Oryctolagus cuniculus: one gene and its partner. The protein of the gene in region 2 binds, or shares a complex with, the protein of the main gene of each other region. Links are inferred from orthologs where the notes say so. Each region holds a gene or a part of one and is shown on either strand. Other genes may lie near its edges.

Region 1 (4,296 bases), on a different chromosome or scaffold from region 2:
GGAGACCCAGAAGAAGCTCCTGGCTCCCGGCACAGCTCTGGCCATTGCAGCCACTTGGGGGGTGAACCAGCAGATAGAAGACCTCTCTCTCTCTCTGCCTCTCCTTTTCTCTCTCCAACTCTTTCAAATAAACAAATCTTTAAAAAGAGAGAGCGAGCGAGCGAGCACGAATTCATGGAGCCAGCACTGTGGCACAGCAGGTAAAGCTGCTGCCTGCAGTGCCAGCATCCCATATGGGCGCCAGTTCAAGTCCCGGCTGCTCCACTTCTGATCCAGCTCTCTGCTGTGGCCTGGGAAAGCAGTGGAAGATGGCCTGAGTCCTTGGGCCCTGCACCTTTGTGGGAGTCCCAGAAGATGCTCCAGGCTTCAGGCTCCTGGCTTTGTACTGACCCAGCTCCCGCCACTGCAGCCATTTGGGGAGTGAACCAGCAGATGCACGACCTCTCTCTTTCTCTCTCTACCTTTCTGTAACTCTGCATTTCAAATAAATAAATCGTTAAAAAACAACAACAACAACAAAACAACAAAAAACTAGTCTTATTTAAGAGTCCTGGCTGCTGGCTGGCGCTGCGGCTCAGTAGGCTAATCCTCCACCTTGCGGCGCCGGCACACCGGGTTCTAGTCCCGGTCGGGGCGCCGGATTCTGTCCCGGCTGCCCCTCTTCCAGGCCAGCTCTCTGCTGTGGCCAGGGAGTGCAGTGGAGGATGGCCCAAGTGCTTGGGCCCTGCACTCGCATGGGAGACCAGGAGAAGCACCTGGCTCCTGCCTTCGGATCAGCACTGTGCGCTGGCCGCAGCGGCCATTGGAGGGTGAACCAACGGCAAAGGAAGACCTTTCTCTCTGTCTCTCTCTCTCTCACTGTCCACTCTGCCTGTCAAAAAAAAAAAAAAAAAAAAGAGTCCTGGCTGCTCTGCTTCTGATCCAGGTCCCTGACAATCCACCTGGGGGAGCAGCAGCAGACGGCCTGAGCACTTGGCCCCTGCCACCCACAGGAGACACCTGGATGGAGTTATTGGCTTTAGCCTGACCCACCCCAACTACTGTGGCCATTTGGGGAGTAAACCACCCAGGAAGATCTCTGTCTGTCTCTCCCTGTCACTCTGTCTTCACTGTCACTCATTATTTATTTCAAATAAATAACCTTTTCAAAAAATAAGAGAATTCGCTGCATCACAAGACAACGGTGACAGCAGGGCCCCGGAATACAATTTTGTAGGAAGCACGGGTTCAACCGAGCAGTGGTGGAATAATAAAAGCAGCAGCAAGCCCACCTAGTCTTGACACACCACGGCCACCACGCATGCGCAGAAAACAGGCCCTGCGTCCAGCACAGCGCTGGAACCCAGGCACCCAGGCTCCGAGCGCCCGGCCGCGGCCAGGCCGCCCCAGCGCCCTGCGGTCACACGGAGGGCGCCCCTCGCCGCCCCGCAGCCCCACGGGCGCCCTGAGGAGGAGCCCAGCAAGGACGCCATCCCCACCTCGCCGTCTCCGGGAGCGAGACTCTAAGCACAGACCCAATTCTGCAGGCCAGGGGGCGGCGACCTCACCCGGCGCAGGCAGCGACTCCCGGGCCCGTGGACAGCAGTCATCGCCCAGCCCGGCGGGGGACGTGCTCCCCGCCCTGGAGGGGTCGCTGCACGCCCGCCGCCCACCCCGGGCTCCCGGGGTCCGGCGAGGCCCCGCCCCGCCCCGCCCCCGCCTCGGGGACCCCGAGCGCCGGACCTGAGGGAAAACCCCGCAGCTCGTCCGCGGGAACGACACGCAGCATCTCGCGGGTGACCCGGCCTCGAGGCGGCCCGGGGAGACCCCCGCTACGCCCCCCCTGAGCCGCCGGGCCCGGAGCCGGCGTCTACACCTGCCGCCCACCCGGGGCTCCCGGGGTCCCGCGAGGCCCAGCCCCGCCCCCGCCCCGGGGACCCCGAGCGCCGGACCTGAGGGAAAACCCCGCAGCTCGTCCGCGGGAACGACACGCAGCATCTCGCGGGTGACCCGGCCTCGAGGCGGCCCGGGGAGACCCCCGCTACGCCCCCCCTGCGCCGCCGGGCCCGGAGCCGGCGTCTACACCTGCCGCCCACCCAGGGGCTCCCGGGGTCCGGCGAGGCCCCGCCCCGCCCCTGCCCCGGGGACCCCGAGCGCCGGACCTGAGGGAAACCCCGCAGCTCGTCCGCGGGAACGACACGCAGCATCTCGCGGGTGACCCGGCCTCGAGGCGGCCCGGGGAGACCCCCGCTACGCCCCCCCTGCGCCGCCGGGCCCGGAGCCGGCGTCTACACCTGCCGCCCACCCAGGGGCTCCCGGGGTCCGGCGAGGCCCCGCCCCGCCCCTGCCCCGGGGACCCCGAGCGCCGGACCTGAGGGAAAACCCCGCAGCATCTCGCGGGTGACCCGGCCTCGAGGCGGCCCGGGGAGACCCCCGCTACGCCCCCCCTGAGCCGCCGGGCCCGGAGCCGGCGTCTACACCTGCCGCCCACCCGGGGCTCCCGGGGTCCCGCGAGGCCCAGCCCCGCCCCCGCCCCGGGGACCCCGAGCGCCGGACCTGAGGGAAAACCCCGCAGCTCGTCCGCGGGAACGACACGCAGCATCTCGCTGTGAGCCCGGCCTCGAGGCGGCCCGGGGAGACCCCCGCTACGTCCCCCCTGCGCCGCCGGGCCCGGAGCCGGCGTCCACGCCGGCCGCTGGAAGGCCAGGCAGCCACTTACGAAGGAGGAGAAGGACGGGAGGAGGATCCGAAGGACATTGCACCCGAACACGAAGCTGAGCACCAGCAGCCACGCCCAACGGTCGGCCTCCGCCGCGCTCATGCCTGGCGCTCGCCGCCGCCACAGCCCAGCCGGCACCACGCCGGCGGCCGCGCCTGCGCGCTAAGGCCCGCTGCGGCGCGCGTGCGCACTGCGCCGAGGCGAGCCATTTTTCGCGGTACGCCCGAGTGCAGAGAGCGGTAGATACGGTCCCACCGCTCCCTTGGCCTTCCGGGCTTCCGTAGGCACCTCGTGCCCGCCGACCGCTCGCGCTGATGCAGTGTGGACCTGTTGGTTGTCGTTGTCTGGGAGCTATTTATGTCATTTAATTAATACTTTCCCCAAGTTGACTCACGTTGATTCCTAAATGTAAACTTTAAGTGGAAGACCTCGTAGTAGCAGGTGACTGGAAAAGGCCCTGGCCTAGCCAACTTCGCCACAGCGCTGGTCCCGAAAAATAAGTTTATTGATGGGAAGGCGCTGGTTATCATCTGCCTGTAGTATAATTTTGGACATCAGGCTTTGCAGTTTACACATCTCCACTCACATTCACGCACCGGGGATAAACTGAAAGACATTTAGCCACGGTTGCATTGTGGGAACTAGTTCCTGCCCAAAATGGTGCACGAAGTCGTGGGTCCACAACTTTGTTGCGAGGGAACCTGACGTGCAGGCATTTAATAACAGCGGGACGGATTCTTTCCACGAAAGGGCATCCTGCTAGGAGGTGACCGATGAACCAACCAGAATAAAGCGAAGGACGGGAGCCTGCCTCTGCTCCGGGCCTTCTCCTGCCGCTGCAGACGAGACGGGGTCAAGGGCAGCTGCTCCCGTCCTCCCCCCTTGCCCCAGTCCCTGAGGAAAACCCCACCAAGTCCCACCCACAGACCCCAGGAGGACAGGCCACCTCACTCCGGTTGGTTGGTTGGTTTCTAAATTATTAACTTGAAAGGGAGAGTTACAGAGAGACAGAGAGAGACAGAGAGAGAGAGAGAGAGAAGGAGAGAGAGGGTGAGGGAGGGAGAGGGAGGGAGGGGAGGGGGGGAGAGAGAGAGGGAGAGAGCGAGAGCGAGCCTCCACCTGCTGGTTCACTACAGAGAGAGAGAGAGAGAGAGAGACAGAGAGAGCGCTTCCACCTGCTGGTTCACTACAGAGACAGAGAGAGACAGAGAGAGAGAGAGAGAGCCTCCACCTGCTGGTTCACTCCCCTAATGGCTGCAGTGAACGAGACTGCGCCAGGCCAGAGGCAGGAGCCTGGAATTCCACACGGGAATCAGGGGCCCAAGGACTTGGGCCGTCCTCCACTTCCTGCCCAGGCACATTCGCAGGGAAGCGTGTTGGAAGTGGAGCAGCCAGGACTCGAACCGTGCTCACGTGGAATGCTGGTGTTGAAGAGTTAAAATTGTATATGTGCGGGTGTAAAAAATTAAGCTTAAGCTTACAGGTTTAAACCTTCCTGGTACAGCTGTAAAAATAAGACAGAGTGAAGTAGCACCTTGACAGTAGGGACTCCATTTTGGAGCACTTGAGACTCCATTCTGGGAAAGCACCCCCCCCAC
Region 2 (3,971 bases):
ACAGTCGAGTAGCCAGCAGCGTGAAATCTAATTTCAGATGATTTTGCATATTTTGTTTTGGAGTATTTATAGCTGTACCAAAAGTTAACATAAATACTTTGATATTACGGTTAGGGAAAAATTACTTAGCTACTTGAGTAATTTTTTATAAAGACGCTTTTTTTTTTCCTTAAAAATTATTTATTTGAAAGGCAGAGTTACAGAGAAAGGGCCGCCCTGAAGCCAGGAGCCTGGAACACCATCCATGTCGCCCATGTGGGTGCAGGAGCCCCGCTTCCAGTCCAGGCGGCGCCCGGCCTGGTGCTGAAGACGGCCAAGTGCTCGGGCCCCGCTCCTGGGAGACCTGTCTGAAGCGCCGGCTCCTGGCTCAACCCTTGCCGCCATGTGGGGAGTCAACCAGCGGATGGAAGAGCTCTCTCTCTCTAATCCTGCTTTTCAAATAAATAAAATACATAATTAAAAACAGTCTCGGGCGCCCCCAAACCTCCCATTCAGGGCCTGCGCCGCTGCGCCTCACGGAGGCCTTGACGTGCATCCACATCGGTATAGAAATCGCAGCAGAGAACAAAGCTCACTGCGGGGCTTCACACATCTTATATTTCAGGTGGTGAGACGCAGGCGACAAACACTCAGCACACCTGACAAGGTGGCTGTACATGCAAAGGAGAAAAGGGGTAGAAAGGACTAAAGAGCGTGGATCATTCACACAGTACGGACAGGGAAGACATCGCAGGGAAAGTCTTATTTAAAAAAAAGCGTGAGGAAAGCATGAGAACTAGCCCACTCGAGAGAAGAGCAAATTCTGAAGGGACTCAGAGTCAGCCCCGAGAAAAAATTCCTCTCTAAATCGTCGTTCGCCAATTTTCGTATTCCTGCGTCCAATGAACGAGGCCGCAGGAGTTCTGCAAAAAAGCGCCTGAAGCTGCATCCTCCATTTTGCTTCCTGGCACCTGTGACCTATATGCCTATCGCTTTCGTCACTTTCATCTCTTTCCACATCGCCAGGTTACGGACCATTTTGTTTATCTCTAATTTTAGAAGAGAGGAGACCAGCCGTCAGCGGAATGCTAGGCAGGCCGTCCTGGACCACAGGCGCTGCCCTCATTCAAAATGGCGGCCACAGCCTCGCGCACCTTCCCATCGGGCGGCGCGGGCGCGCTCGGCCCGCAGTCCCGGCCCCGCGCGCGGGGGGCGGGTCTACGCTGGGACGGGCTGGGGCGCCGTGCGGCCCTGCCCGAACTCACCCGTGCCGCCGCCGCCGCCACTTGCAGACCATGGATGGGCGGATGGAGCCGGTGACCGTCGCTGCCGACGGCGGGGACCGACCGGGGGCCCCGGCAGGGTCCGGCATGTCGGCTTCTCAGCGTCGGGCCGAGCTGCGGCGGCGAAAGCTGCTGATGAACTCGGAACAGCGCATCAACCGCATCATGGGTTTCCACAGGCCCGGGAGCGGCGCGGGTGAGAACGTCCGTTTCCCCGCAGTGTTCTGCCGACTGCTTGGCATCTTCGGGGTCATCTTGCCTGCCCCCACACTGCGTCTCGCTGGCCTCTCCCTGCCGCGCGTCCCCCTGCCTGAGTCCGGGGTCGCTGCCACGACGGCTGCGGGTCCCTGCGGGCGGCAGCCTGGAGACGGCCGTTCTCCCTGGTCTGCTGTGCCCGCGGTGCCCCCGGGAGGATGTCCCCTGCTGTCCGTTCCTGGTGCCTCTGCTTCCAGGGCTTTCCCTGGCATCCGCCTTGTGTTGCCGTTTGCTGTGTAATTGCTGTCGGGCACACCCGCTGGTCGGCTCTGCCCCCTGGGCCGCCCGCGGTGGGTCGGAGACGCGGGGCTGGGGGACATCCGGCCTGAGGTCCGCGAAATCGCCGCAGGCGGGATTGGAAGTCCAGTCCATCTGTGGCAGGCTGATTTTTAAGTTGATAATTTTGTTTGGCGCACAAATGATGTTATAGATGTTCAAATGGCTCTCATGGAAGAAAGACCCCCCCACCCCACCCCAGCTAGTGCCTGTGTTCAGCTCCAGGCCTTCCAGAAGTCAGACCAGCAGGTGCGCTGCGCCCACCGAGCTGCGCTGTCCTTGTTCGTTGAGACGGGTGTGACTGAGGTTGGGTTTGCATTGAGACCTGGAGCAGTGTCCCCAAGAGGGTGTCGAGGTGTTTTCTTAAAGAATCCTTTTCCCTGTGAATAGAACGAATCATTTAGCTCGCGAGTGGGAAGGTTTCCGTCCAGCATTTCTCTTAGTAATCGGCCTTTGGTTTTTGGTTGCGAGCTCCCTAGCTCTTCCTGAATCCCGGGAGGTTTGAGATGGAGTGTGGCTCCGAGCTTGCAGACACACTCCTGGGGAGGGAGAGCCCCTTTCCGAATTGTCCAGAACGGTGGTTGGGAGAACAGTTCTCCTTCGACGTTAGGATGCTTGTCTCTCCCAAAGCATTCTTCATCATCTTTCTTGGAGATGCGTTCTTATTTTCTTCTTTTGCTTTGAGATTTTTATCTTTATAGGTTTTGTTTAGGAAGAAAAGCCATGGCAGGGTCTTAAGGCTGTGTGTGGACACACTGTGGCTGCCTGACCCGTGAACAGTGGCCGGGGGACAGGCCACACCCTGTGCTCATAGAGCTCTGGATTCAAAAATCTAACTTAACATTCGAGCTAGAAAAAACAAACACACACTGATTTTTAGAAGGCTTGATGATTTTATGTATTCAGCCAGATAACTAGAGCAGGAACTGTGGGATATACTGTCCAGGAAGCGCAGGGAGAACAGTTTGCTCCATGCCGGCTCTCCGTTTGTATTTCACTCCTCGCCCCTCCTGCTAAGGCTGAGCTGTTGTGTACGGCTGGCTTTGAGGGTGTGGAGGGAGGAACCACTTCTCGTTTTATGCACAGTCAGTGTGGATTTCATTTCAGAGACTGCCAAGTTCTAGCTGCAGCCGCTTATTTTAAAATATTAACGTGTAGTGTTCGCCTGTATGGAATACATGAGACTTACATTTCTCTCCTCAGAAGAAGAGAGCCAAGCAAAATCGAAGCAGCAGGACGGTGACAGGCTGAACGCCCTCGGCATTCCTTCCGTCTCCAAGCGCGTGGTGCTGGGCGATTCAGTTGGTGCGGGAGCGGTGGACCAGCACGGCAGTGCGGCCGAGGTCCGGGGGGACGCGCTGGACTCTTTGATTCCGCCGCCCGAGTGCCCCGACGACCTGAACCTGGAGCTCCGGCTGCGCAGCAGAGGGGAGCTGGCCGCGGACGCCGTGCAGAGGGCCTCTCGCCACGGGCTGGAGCAGTACCTTTCCAGGTTCGAGGAAGCAATGAAGCTGCGGAGGCAGCTGACCAGCGAGAAGCCCAGTCAGGAGGACGGGAGCGCGGCAGAGGAGTTTGACTCTTTTCGAATATTTAGATTGGTGGGATGTGCTCTCCTCGCTCTTGCAGTCCGAGCTTTCGTTTGCAAATACTTGGTAAGGAAAAGACTGGGTTGGTAGCTAACTTCATGGAATATGCAAATTGCTTATAATGAATGCTTTTATATTTTATTTTTTGAGAGTTACACGGTAGGAGAGGAGAGAGAGAGAGGGAGGGAGGGAGGAATATCTTCCATCTGCTGGTTCACTCCCCACATGGCCACAATGGCCAGGGCCCAGCCAGGCTGAAACCAGGAGCCAGGAGCTTCTTCCAAGACGCCCACATGGGTGCAGGGCCCCAAGCACTTGGACCATCTTCCACTGCTTTCCCAGGAGCGTGAGCAGAGAGCTGGATTGGAAGTGGAGCAGCCAGGACACGAATTGGCACCCATGTGGGATGCCGGTGTTGCTGGTGTTGTGGCTTTACTGGCCGTGCCACAGCGCCGGCCCTGAAAAATTTTTTAAATGTAATTGAGAAGTAGAAGGACAGAGGGAGAAAGAGATTACATCTGTTTGTTCTTCCCCAAAATGCCTCAAGGACCAGAGCTGAGCTTGGGCCCAGAGCTGTGAGTCAGAAACTCAG

Evidence for each region. Proteins that work in one complex are often made in the same cells at the same time.
Region 1: CAMLG (region 2) and GET1 share a complex: the UniProt entries of both Homo sapiens proteins name them as parts of the golgi to ER traffic (GET) complex. The link is inferred for Oryctolagus cuniculus from reciprocal best matches to the Homo sapiens genes CAMLG and GET1.

Annotation. Positions count from the first base shown.
Region 1 is NC_091435.1:5,740,511-5,744,806, forward strand, and holds the start of GET1 (guided entry of tail-anchored proteins factor 1), read right to left. Parts: upstream 2,801-4,296; coding exon 2,699-2,800; intron 1,993-2,698; exon of another isoform or gene 1,978-1,992; coding exon of another isoform or gene 1,723-1,977; intron 1-1,722. UniProt on the Homo sapiens protein: Required for the post-translational delivery of tail-anchored (TA) proteins to the endoplasmic reticulum (ER).
Region 2 is NC_091437.1:22,958,826-22,962,796, forward strand, and holds the start of CAMLG (guided entry of tail-anchored proteins factor CAMLG), read left to right. Parts: upstream 1-1,171; 5' UTR 1,172-1,274; coding exon 1,275-1,458; intron 1,459-2,996; coding exon 2,997-3,445; intron 3,446-3,971. UniProt on the Homo sapiens protein: Required for the post-translational delivery of tail-anchored (TA) proteins to the endoplasmic reticulum.